3 linked regions of the Rattus norvegicus genome follow. The main gene of each other region encodes a partner of the protein of the gene in region 3 in a complex. Links are inferred from orthologs where the notes say so. Each region holds a gene or a part of one and is shown on either strand. Other genes may lie near its edges.

Evidence for each region.
Region 1: the proteins of Ap3d1 (region 3) and Ap3s1 are in contact, whole or in part, in a cryo-EM structure (PDB 9C5C), measured with the Homo sapiens proteins. The link is inferred for Rattus norvegicus from reciprocal best matches to the Homo sapiens genes AP3D1 and AP3S1. Residues at the interface, in NP_003929.4 of Homo sapiens: Leu18, Gln19, Val22, Arg26, Cys60, Thr63, Tyr64, Gln66, Met67, Leu68, Gly69, Tyr70, Asp71, Ile72, Ser73, Lys87, Phe88, Thr89, Arg92, Ile93, Leu96, Gln100, His103, Tyr126, Leu132, Thr133, Ser136, Tyr161, Lys164, Lys165; in NP_001275.1 of Homo sapiens: Met1, Lys13, Pro14, Arg15, Leu16, Ser17, Lys18, Phe19, Pro22, Tyr23, Glu25, Asp26, Gln28, Gln29, Arg42, Asp43, Glu44, Asn45, Val46, Cys47, Asn48, Phe49, Ser80, Glu81, Ser82, Glu83, Leu84, Gly85, Leu87, Asp88.
Region 2: the proteins of Ap3d1 (region 3) and Arf1 are in contact, whole or in part, in a cryo-EM structure (PDB 9C5B), measured with the Homo sapiens proteins. The link is inferred for Rattus norvegicus from reciprocal best matches to the Homo sapiens genes AP3D1 and ARF1. Residues at the interface, in NP_003929.4 of Homo sapiens: Lys48, Asp50, Phe77, Ile80, Glu81, Ser84, Asp107, Met110, Leu111, Thr112, Thr113, Asn114, Gln115, Arg117, Lys118; in NP_001019397.1 of Homo sapiens: Tyr35, Ile46, Pro47, Thr48, Ile49, Gly50, Phe51, Asn52, Val53, Glu54, Trp66, Lys73, Ile74, Leu77, His80, Tyr81, Gln83, Asn84.

Annotation. Positions count from the first base shown.
Region 1 is NC_086036.1:41,708,264-41,711,910, reverse strand, and holds part of Ap3s1 (AP-3 complex subunit sigma-1), read right to left. Parts: intron 3,464-3,647; coding exon 3,356-3,463; intron 454-3,355; coding exon of another isoform or gene 418-453; exon of another isoform or gene 413-417; intron 1-412. UniProt on the Homo sapiens protein: Part of the AP-3 complex, an adaptor-related complex which is not clathrin-associated. The complex is associated with the Golgi region as well as more peripheral structures.
Region 2 is NC_086028.1:44,511,594-44,515,340, forward strand, and holds the start of Arf1 (ADP-ribosylation factor 1), read right to left. Parts: upstream 2,402-3,747; 5' UTR 2,358-2,401; exon of another isoform or gene 2,066-2,357; intron 1-2,065. UniProt on the Homo sapiens protein: Small GTPase involved in protein trafficking between different compartments. Modulates vesicle budding and uncoating within the Golgi complex. In its GTP-bound form, triggers the recruitment of coatomer proteins to the Golgi membrane.
Region 3 is NC_086025.1:9,619,990-9,623,736, reverse strand, and holds the start of Ap3d1 (AP-3 complex subunit delta-1), read right to left. Parts: upstream 2,743-3,747; 5' UTR 2,507-2,742; coding exon 2,411-2,506; intron 1-2,410. UniProt on the Homo sapiens protein: Part of the AP-3 complex, an adaptor-related complex which is not clathrin-associated. The complex is associated with the Golgi region as well as more peripheral structures.

The sequences.
Region 1 (3,647 bases), on a different chromosome or scaffold from region 3:
TCTGTCTGTCTCTCTCTTTCTCTTTCTCTCTATCTATCTGAGATTGGTTCTGCTAAAGGGATGCTCAAAATTAACTTTTTATATATAAAGTACACTGTCATTTCTACAAATGTAACTTTACAATTAAATGATCATGTTTTTACAAAAAAAAAAACAAAGAATTAAAATTTTCCTTTTACAATGCAGGCAGACAAAACAGAACAAACATGACGCCAATGATATACTAGTAAAATACACTACGTCCAATAAAAGATGGAGAAACTACAAGGAGAAACTAGAATGGAAAATAGGCTACAGGGACTATATGGGTTCATTAACACAAAGAATTTTTGAGTCTGGCCTAAAAAGTAATTGCCTTCGACATCATTTTGCTTTCCCTTTGTTAAGTACGTTTTCTCAAAGTCAGCAATACCTTGTCTACCTGTCCTGTCTGGGAGACTGAAAGATAAAGGTCTGTAAGAGAGAAGAATGGAAAGAGCTAGAAAGATCAGGATGTTCAGGAAAAAAGGAGGACTGACTTAAAAAGTAGTCACTAAATTCAGATCCATTTATCCACCTTAAGAATAACAACACGAAATACATAATTCCAACAAGTCTCCCACCCCACCCTCTACCACCCCCAGAATTCCTTATATTCCCTGGCAGATTACTGGGTGACTCTCAAGTTTCCCGAAACCCACCAACCTCCCAGCTTAAACCCTCTTTCCCAAAATCCCCAAAAGACAATAAACCATTTTTTCCTATCAAATCACCATAGATGAAAATACACTGTGCATGCCTTTGCCTCTCTCCTCCTTCAGGGTGGGCAGACCTGTCCTGTCTAGATAACTAGGAATTAAACTGGTCACTTTCTTCCATCACTGAAACTCCCTGCCTTAAAGACACCATATTTAATTATTAAAATAGTCACTATTGAATTATTAAAACAGGTAACCTAGATAAATTCATACTTTAAATGCTGTAAGTTAATTATATTCAGGGTGATTTTTCAAAAGCTAGAAGACAATCCTAAAACAGTTCATATGAATTTTAAAAATATGATCAATTCTTTTTACCAATCAAAATTTTAGTTATGTCTTCCTTGTTATTTTTGCTTTGTAATAATTTAAGAAGAAATTAATACTCTGCTCTCAAATCATTTTGGGTTAGTCTGTGGAGCTACATACCTGAAGTTAACTAAAAGAATTAAATAATTCAATTCTTGAAGACTTGAATATGAAAATATGAAGACTTGAACTTTAGTGTGTAGTCTTCCAACATTGAAAATATAGTTTAGTTAATGACAACATTCACAAAGTCAATATAATTTTAACACTATTTCAAGAAATAGGATGTAACATAATTTGGTGGTTTAATCCTTATCTGATTAAACCATATCTTCTTGCAAAGTACATACATATGTAAAACTACTAATCTGACAGAAAATAACAGCTGATTATATATATTAAAACATGGCCAAAGGATGACCACTAGAAGCATACATCAATATTTTAAACTATTTAAACAAGTTTAAGCCTGTGAAAAATATTTTTGCATAGTAATTTTATAAAACTATAGCATTCCCACCAAAAATATTAATTCTGCATCTTGCCACTCTCCATAGCTAATAAAAACTGTCTTATTAATATATTCTACTGGAAAAATAAAAAAAACAAAGATGCAGAATTTACTTCTTACCCATGACCTTTACAAATACTATACAAAACACTATGCAGAGCAAAAGGAAACAGGAGAATGAAAAGAAAAGGAAAGAAAGGAGGAAAGGAGGGACCACCACTGATAAGAAATGAGTCCCTAAAATATGAAAAACCAGCCATGTGACTAATGTGTGTTTACAGATTAGAGAGTTCACAAATTAAGCCTGTATTTTAGAGCAACCATTGAGGCATTATGTTATTGTGGCCTTGGCATTTAAACTACTAATGTAGTTTAGGGAAGCAATGCTGAACAATTTGCATACATTTCAAGTCAACATTTTAAAACTTTAATAAATTCAATAGCTTTTCTTTTACTGTGCTGAGTAATGTTGTAAATAAATATACTAAATAACACTGTTCTTTTCCTTGATCTAACACAAAACTTCTCTAATAATATACTGCATATTTTCTGCTTTCAAAAGTCATAATGTAAAAACAGGTGGTAGAACAAATGTGATACACAGTTACTTTATGGGTCCTGTCTTTAAGCTCTTCATCCCCATCACAAGCATCTCCTTTGGAGACCAATAGGGGTGGCCAAGTGAGATAAAAGAGAAATAGAAGTCTACCTTTACTTTAAAACACAGGAAAGTGTTTTTATAAGGAGCTTCAACTTTTTCTGGCTCATATCCCGCATTTTCTTCAATTAAAATGAGTATAAAAGTTTATCAAACTGAACTTTAAATATGAACAAGACATTTTCAGAACTCACCTGTTGTAAATTAATTTAGTGTATTAATCCTACTCCTTTGATAATAATATTGACTTGAAACTGACCTTGCACTAATAATCATGTGACTATGATTGCTGCTGTTGTGTTCTCTTTCCAATCTTGGTTATAGAATGTAAGAGTACCCTTAAAGGCTGGGTATGGTAATACATGATTTGAAATCCCAATACCCAGGACACAGAGACAGGTGGATCTCTGTGAATACCAGGACAGCACGGTGAGCCTGTCTCAAATAACAAGTCAAAGAGTGCCTTCATTAAATACAATACTGGATAAGGTATAGAGACTGCTCATGGGTCTAAACTTGTGCCCTAAGTAGCAGCCACCAAGATAATGGAAACTTAAACAGTCCGGTGCAGCACCTGCCACTGATCTGAAGTCTAGCTCTTGAGAGAAGTGACTAAAGTTCTAAAGTACAAATGTCCTTACTCAACCTATTGAGGCTGAATCTAACAGCACAGAGTTAGCCACAAACATGTTTGTTTCCATTATAGAATACAATAAAATGTATGTATTAACATATAAACTATAAAACTTAACAAACCTGTTACTGACCTTTGGGAAGGATCTAAAAAAGATTTAAGGAACTAAATTTCTTTGTCTCAATATGCAGTTTGACCAAACACCTATTATAAAACATGACTTGCTCAGAACAATTCTATTTCCTCTCCTTTCCCCCTTAAAACTATATTTGAAGGCAGCTACCACTGTGGTTAAAGAAATACATAAAGCTATTTAGAGATTAGCAGTCTTGGGACATTTTGACATACTGCAATGGGCTTACTCATTTTCTGAACCTGAATGGGTACTCAACTGTACCTAAGGATTGATACTGAAGGGCAAGCAGTGATGGCTATGAAGTCATAAATAAAAATAGCTCCTGGTCATGCTCCAAACCCTCACAAACCAGAGCATTTCCCAGTCTTACCTCAGATTTCTCCAGTTTATTTTGTGCATCAATTTGTGTGACAATCTCATTCATGTTGGTCTCCAATACCATTCCCCCCATCACCATTTCTGCAAGAATATTATGAACCTAAGAGAAAAAATTAATATAAACAGACGAATCACTACAAAAAGTTTCTTTGTTTTGGTAATCTTTGTTTTAAAAACTAGTGAAATAATTTGTAATGAAGGCTCAAAGTTCACTCTCATCGTACTATGAACTTCAGGCAATTACATGACCTACGTGAGTCTTAAGTTTATTGAGTTGAAAACAG
Region 2 (3,747 bases), on a different chromosome or scaffold from region 3:
AAGAAAGCCAACAGGGAAGAAAGACCATGAATGACATAGCAGCCTAGAGCACGCTGGGTCTAATGGGACTCACTGATGGCTCCTCAGTGCAAATGACATAGCCCTTGTGATTAAGAGTAGATTTAAACCTGTGTATCAGAGCCAGGAGGTGGTAGCTTATGTCTTTAATTCCAACTATGGAGGCAGATTTCTGAGTATGAGGCCAGCCTGGTCTCAAGAGGGAGTTTCAGGACAGCCAGGGGACACAGAAAAACCCTGCTCATCAATGTAACATTTAATTCTAAGAATCTGAAAGAAAAAAAAAAAAAAAAAAAAAACAACTTGACCCAACACTTTCAAACCATTGTAACAAGCTATTGCATGAACTTGCACAACAAGTTTTTTCTCTTGGTTAGGCTTCCTGACACTGTGTTACCATAGCAACTGCTTGTCTAATTTACCTTTACATTAAAAAAAAAAAAAAAAAAAGGTGTTTTGAAGCCTGTCTGGTCCTGGGCAGAGGAAGCAGCCCATTGGAGTGAAGATTGTGGACATCCATTCTACAAGGTGCAAGAGGTGTAGTGGACATCCCAGCTGCATGATTTTACAATTAGAACTGTGTGTGTGGGGCACAGAACTAGTTATTGCTACTTTCCTCTCAGGATGAGTAGACTGAGTATGAGTCAGCTGTTATTCACACTGTCTTAAACCTTGTGTGCAGTGCTAGAGACCAAACCAAGACTTCATGCAGGCTAGAAAAGCACTCTACTATTCCGCTCCTAAACCTTTTTGAAGTAGCAATTCTGTACATCTGCCTCACAAACAAGAGAACAATGTGATGATCCAGTGACTCAGACCCATTTTCAAACCTAAGGCTAAGTGATCGACATTCCAATGAGGGAAACCTTTATGCTGTGGAGACAATGTAACTCCAACAATGTAGCTCCCACATCTGCGATTGGCCCTTGACCACAGCAGAAACCAGGTAGTAATACTGTGCATCAAATCTCACAGTCTAGGCTATTTCTAATAGCCCTGCTAAAAGCTCAAAGGTGAGGACTTTACAGTCACCCATGTCAGACACTGTAGATACTGGTTAAGACAGTGGAGAGACATGAGGCCAGCACACAAAGCACCATGGCATCTCACCATTCTGACAGTCACAGCAGAAAACACCAGAATCAGCCTGCAGGAAAAACTGCTGACCACTACTACTTGTGAAACAAGAACTACAACAGACTACTCCAACATGGGTTGTGGCATCAACTACTGGGCCCTCCAGTGACTTCTGGGACCAAATGCAGCTGACCCTTCCTTTCCTGACAAAGCAGCCACTTGCTGTTTGAATGGGAGAATTCCTTCTTGATGCAAGCAGATTCCCTGGCATTTAGTGTTTGTTATATGTGGCTAGACCACATAACATATGTACATTACAACCTGACATGGCATGACCATCCTGAATAGACAGCCAGAATCCTGTACTGGATCTGGCCTCTGTACCTGCATATTGCTCAGAGGCTGGGAGCAGGTTATTCCATGGGCAGGTTAAAGATTCTCCAATTCAGAATGGCCTTTTCTAATCCACCAAAAGCATAAAGGGAGTCAGCCAAGAGGCGAAATAACGCTCAAACCCCTCCAGAGGCCACTGGGCTCTAGAGTGCAGACCCCATTGCAGATCTCATCGAGGGTATGCGGGGCCAAATCACGGCTAATTGGGGATCACAGTGGGCATTCTGGGATCCCCTGAGATCCGAATATGTGTTAAATCCCAGCACCCGGTCATCAGTTCCGAGTCCCTGTCCGACACCTGTCCCTTTCCCTTCCCCCTTCCTACAACTTCGGTCCTCTAGGCCGACAGGAACAGGACTCGAGAGACAGAGGAGGAAGACCTCGACACCCGAGTGACCTTGACGCCGTCTCAGGGCCACCCGAGCCTCAGTTTCCCCAGGCCCAAGGCTCATGCCGTTTCTGAAGCTGCCGGTTAGCCTTTAAGAAGGGAAACTCCGTGACCCCCGAGCCCTGCTCCCCGCAACGGGCTCCCGGGCCGTGGAGCCTAGGAAGGGCGCAGAGAGGAACAGCAGGAAACCTGGCTTCCTGGAGAAGAGCCGGCGTCCTGGCCGGACTTCCGGGCTGCGGCCCGCGGCGGGCGGCCTGGCGTAAGGGCCGCGGAGTGGGGGAGGGCCAAGCGGCCGTGGGCGACGCGGGACTTGGGGGCGCCCTGATCTTCTGTCCGGCCTGCCGCCGAGCCCACTGAGCACAGACCTCAGGCCGCCCGACCAGACTCGGTCCTTAGCAGCCGCAGCCGAGAGCCCCGCGATTCCCACGATGACCAGCCCGTGGCCTCCCCAGCTTCGGCCTCAGAGAGCCCCGCTTCTCACCTCCGCGGCGGCTGCTCCCAGCCAGGCGTTGGTTTCGCTCCCACAAGATGGCGGCGCTGACGGCAGCCACGTCAGCGCCTGCCGCGGGGCACGCCGGGGGAAGAGGGCGGGCACGCAGGAGGCCCCGCCCCTTCACGAATAGCGCTTGCGCGTCTGCACCCTGACGCCTTCGTTGGGTGGAGCCAAAGTCGCTCTGTTTCCGGATCGGGTCCCGGGCTAGCACACCGGCTCCGGAGATTAGAACGCGCAAGGGTGTGGTGCATGGATTTCCCTGTCCTACGGCGCGTGCGCACGCGCATCTTCCTGCGGAATTCCAGCCCATTCCGCGGATGCGGGGGTTGAGGCCAGTAAGCGTTCTAGAGCGCCAAGGTCAGAGTGGGAAGGTCGTGTTACCCCTGGGAGTGTGATGTCCTTCTCAGAGTACCCCAGGGTCTCTGATACTTCAGCTGAGTCGGGGCATTGAAGAGAATGATGTAACAGACAAATGGCCAAAGTGGGAAGAAGCACAGGCCAAATGTCAGACAAACACCATGTCCCTACACTCGTCTTGGACCCGTGTGCACACTCAGAGCTGACTGAGAGGACTAGAGACCTGTGCGGGCATAGCACTGCCTGAGAGGCTACTCTGGGTTGCCCCTAATGGGGTGGCCTCCTTCAGGGTGCAGGAGAGAAGGTGGAATCCGTTAACTCTCCCCATCTGTGCTGGAGTGAGGCCCAGGTTCTGTCCTCCCTGTCCAGTTCTTCCACTCCATGTGCTGTTGTGAGGACTCCCACAGGCAGGAGATTTTGAGGGACTTAGGAGATTCTTTTGAGCCTGGAGCCTTATCTATTGAGTTGGCAGGAGGCAATTGTGTTGCCTGGGCTTACTTCAGCCACTGTTGTGTCAAGACACAGGGTGCAGGGCATCCTCACTGCGTTTGCGGGTTGAGACCTCTAGAACCCTCCCCAGAGTTGTGAGCCTGCCAGGATTCTATGCAATAATCACCTTCTTGACCCTAAACGCATCCCTTTCCATCACTCAGGGCTCCATTTTTAAATGCTGCTTCTGTAAATTTCTCTGGGGGCACCTGCCTGTTCTCTCCCACCCTCAGCACACAGCAAGTGTTTGTGAAAAACATAAGGTGGTGCTGCCTATACACACCCTGGAGAAATGGCAGGACGTTTCCAGAGGCCTGAGATTTCAGCCATGTCAGAAGCCTGTCTTAGCCACTTCATGGATAAGGAGACAAAGAAATGGGGTGTCTAGAAAAACCACAGGTTCATCAAGAACCAAACTCCCTTTCTGTACCTAAAAAGGCAAAACTGAAGAAGTAGAGACAGGGTGGTAGTCCTCTTTATCCTAATGTCACCCCTATACATTGTAGTCCTACTCAAAAAGTCACCTGTAGGG
Region 3 (3,747 bases):
TGCAGAGATAGAGCAGACAAGGACTTGCTGCTCTTCTAGGGGACCCGGGTTTAATTCCCTGCATCCACTTGAGGCTCTCCATCCATAGCTATCGCCACCACACCTGGCAATAATTTTTTTTTTTTAAATACAAAGATCATCTCAGGCTACAGAGATGGATCAGTGGTTAAGAGCACTGTCTTCGGGCTGGAGAGATGGCTCAGCGGTTAAGAGCACCCGACTGCTCTTCCAGAGGTCATGAGTTCAATTCCCAGCAACCACATGGTGGCTCACAACCATCTGTAAAGAGATCTGGTGTATCTGAAGACAGCTACAGTGTACTCATATATAATAAATAAAATAAATATTTAAAAAAAAAAAAAAAAAAAGCACTGTCTTCTCTCCTGAGGTCCTGAGTTCAATTCCCAGCAACCACACAGTGGCTCACAGCCATCTGTAATGGGATGCAGTGATGCCCTCTTCTGGTGTCTGAGACAGTGACAGTGGATTCACATACATAAAATAAATAAATATTAAAAAAAATCATCTCAAGCTGGGCATGGTGGCATATGCCTTTGATGCCAGCACTCTAGAGGCAGGCAGATCTCTGTGAATTCAAAGCCAGCCTGGTCTACAGAGTGAGTTCCAGGATAGCCAGGGCTACACAGAGAAACCCTGTCTTGGTTAAAAAAAAACAAAAAACAAAAAACAAAAAAGATCACCTCAAAACAAAACTAAAACCCCACAAAACTTCCAAGTGCACATACCAGCATTTTAAGTACTTGTAAGGCAGAAGAGTTATAACCGCCAGGGTTATACAGTGAGACCTATGTCAACCAGAGTGTAGAGCAGAGAATGGTCACTGCATGACTTGTGCTACAAGCTTGGCCAGAAGGCAATGCACTACATCAGCACCTCCAAAGGAGAGTACCTGCAGTCCGCAATGAGCCGGATAACACGCACAGGAACTTAAAGATGGTCCCTGAGGAGGGACAGAGGACCCAAGCAACCTCAGACTGGCCAGCCATGTTGGTTGGGAGAGATGGTTCAGCTGTTAAAGGTAGACTCACAACCAAAATCTTAGCACCCAGCAGCAGAAGCCACATAGAACCTGAGGGCCTGGAGGGCTTTCTGTGCCCACCTAGTCTGCACTACTGAGCCTTGCATGTATGGCAGGGTAGGGAATATGAAGAGCAAAACACACACACCTCAAAATCAGTAATCCCGGCAGGAAGAAGGACAAGGCAGGAGTATCATGAGCTTCCAGCCAGCCCAGGCTATGTCCCTGGCTAGAGCTTGTTTCAGGTACTCAAATTAGAATGTGACCGGTCTCAGGGTCCCAAGACAGCTCCCTGGGGACACTGACAAGAGGGAAACCTGGAGGCCCTCGAGAGCACAGAGGGCCACAGAAGAGTACAAAGGAAATTTCACATAGGGCAGTCCATGCACAGGCCAACCACACACTGGCCAACCAGCTATTTCACCTGAAGTAACAGCCAGGGAGAGCAGGGAGGGTACAAACCAGACCAGGTAGGGTAGAAGGGAGAGGGCTACAGAGGGCTGACTGTCCCAGCCAGGGGCCTGCTTCCTGACCTCACATAGCAAGCAGGGGCCAGCAGGTACCTGTCACGGACACCCTCTTTCAGCATGGCCTTCCTGCCCCGGAGGAAGCCTGTCTTTCCACTGAGCCAGGCACTGGGCAGCCACTCTATCACTTCTTCCTTAATCTAGGTCACAGACTGTGGGGAGGAAAGGAAGTAATGCTCGTGGTCACAGCCTAACTTCTGGAAAAAAAATTGCTTCCACACCCTGACTTTTGCCTTTTTTGAGCTTCCAGTTTTAAAGTCAGGCTTCTCCATTCCAACACGCCCCTAGGTCCTGCAAACACTGATAGTTCAGGGGATCTGAGGCAGGGACACCTGGCAAGTTCCCAAGTAAGCCCAAGACAGCAACCTGGACCTATGTCCCCGGACAAGGGAATTTCTCCATGGGAGACACGTAGACCTATGACTTGATTTTTCTGTGAGGGTCCCGATTCCTCCATATGTGATCCAGAAACAAGCCCAAGTGGGAGAACCTTTGCCTAAGTAAATCTTCTCCAAGAAGGTAAACTCAGGCTCAAGCAGTGCACCCAACTGTAAGGCCTAAGACGCTTAGGTCTTATGACAGCGACTGCTCCAAGTGGACATTTGGGAGGCTCCGGGAGTGGACCCTAGTTATAACAGACGAGGCACCTGAGCCGTTTTGGACAGCATCCATTTCAAGCTGGTGGGGGTAAACAGAGGCCAGGGGAAGGAGAGGTTGTGCAGAGCCGCAGCTCCTAAACAGGCAGGGCCGGAATGGCGATGGGGTCGAGGAGGCTGCTCCAAGGCGGGCCAGAGGCTATAGGCTGTGGGGAAAAGCCGGGCAACCCCACTCCGCGCCGGCTCACCTCGTCCTCCTTGTGGTTGCGGATGCCGCGGACCAGATCCTGCAGGTTCTTGTCGAACATGCGGTCGATACTGCCCTTGACCATCTTGAGGGCCATCGCGGCGGCCCGTGGGCTGTGGCCTCCGAGGGGAACGCCGCCGCCGCGGCCCTGGGAGGTGCGGGGACCCGGCGACCGCACCTCAGGCGACCGCCCCGCTGCGTTTCCGGCCGCCGCGGAGAGGACGACGTGGAGGCCAGAGCGACGGCTGTGGCCGGAGACCAGTCTGAGGAGAAGGGGCAGCGAGTTAGCCCCCGCTTCCGCAGACCCTTCCCTGCTCAGGGCCACCCGCAAATGGCGGCCAAGATGGCGGTGGGTCAGCTGACGGAGAGCCTCGGCGTCCCGGAAGCCCCGCCTCACCAGAAAGCCCGACCCCACACATCAGTTTCCTTGACAACCATATACCGCCCAATAAGAAAGCAGACACCGCCCTTTGATGCCTGGCGGCCCACCCCTTCCTCTGCAGTGCCTTGCAACCTCATTGGTGAGCAAGCTCCCCACATACACGTTCTAACCACGCCCCTAAGGGAAAACCGCGAGCCAGCCTCCCCACTCAGCTAAATAACAGCAGTGGGCGTGGACAGGGTTGGAGTGGGCGTGGCTAGAGGAGGGCGGGGCTCCACGTGGAGCTTTTTCTGCAAGGTCCGGGTAAAGTATATCCAGCTCCTCCTTTTCTGAAGTGGTGACTTGGGAATTGGTGTCAAGAGTCAGTTACACCAGACCAGCAGTCTAACCGGCCGTCCTGTGCTATGTGAAACGCTGTCGGAAAAGACCAACACAAGGCTTGGATGGTGAACACCATGTAGGAGGAACTGTGGGGGGCAAGTGAGTTTTCCTGGAGATGGTCCACCGTTTTGGACAGCTGTGATGGGTGTTCCTGAAGAGGCACAGCCCCTGAGGCGGTCATCTCTAGATTACCTCTCGCTGCTGCTGTGCCGCCTCATGTTTGTCATTGCTATATGTCTCCTGTATCTACTACGATGTTAATGGGCATCTCTCCAGCCCTTAAATAGTTTTAAGATGTTAGGGTAGTTGATAGAAAGTTTAAAGAGATGGTTTAGGTTGTTTTGCCTTCTAGAAAGATATAATAGGGCTGGAGAGATGGCTCGGTGATTAAGAGCACTGACTGCTCTTCCAGAGGTCCTGAGTTCAAATCCCAGCAACCACATGGTGGCTCACAACATCTGTAATGAGATCTGATGCCTTCTTCTAGTGTGTCTGAAGACAGCTACAGTGTTCTCATATACATAAAATAAATAAAATTTAAAAAAAATCTCTGATGGCACTGGGTGTCAATTCCC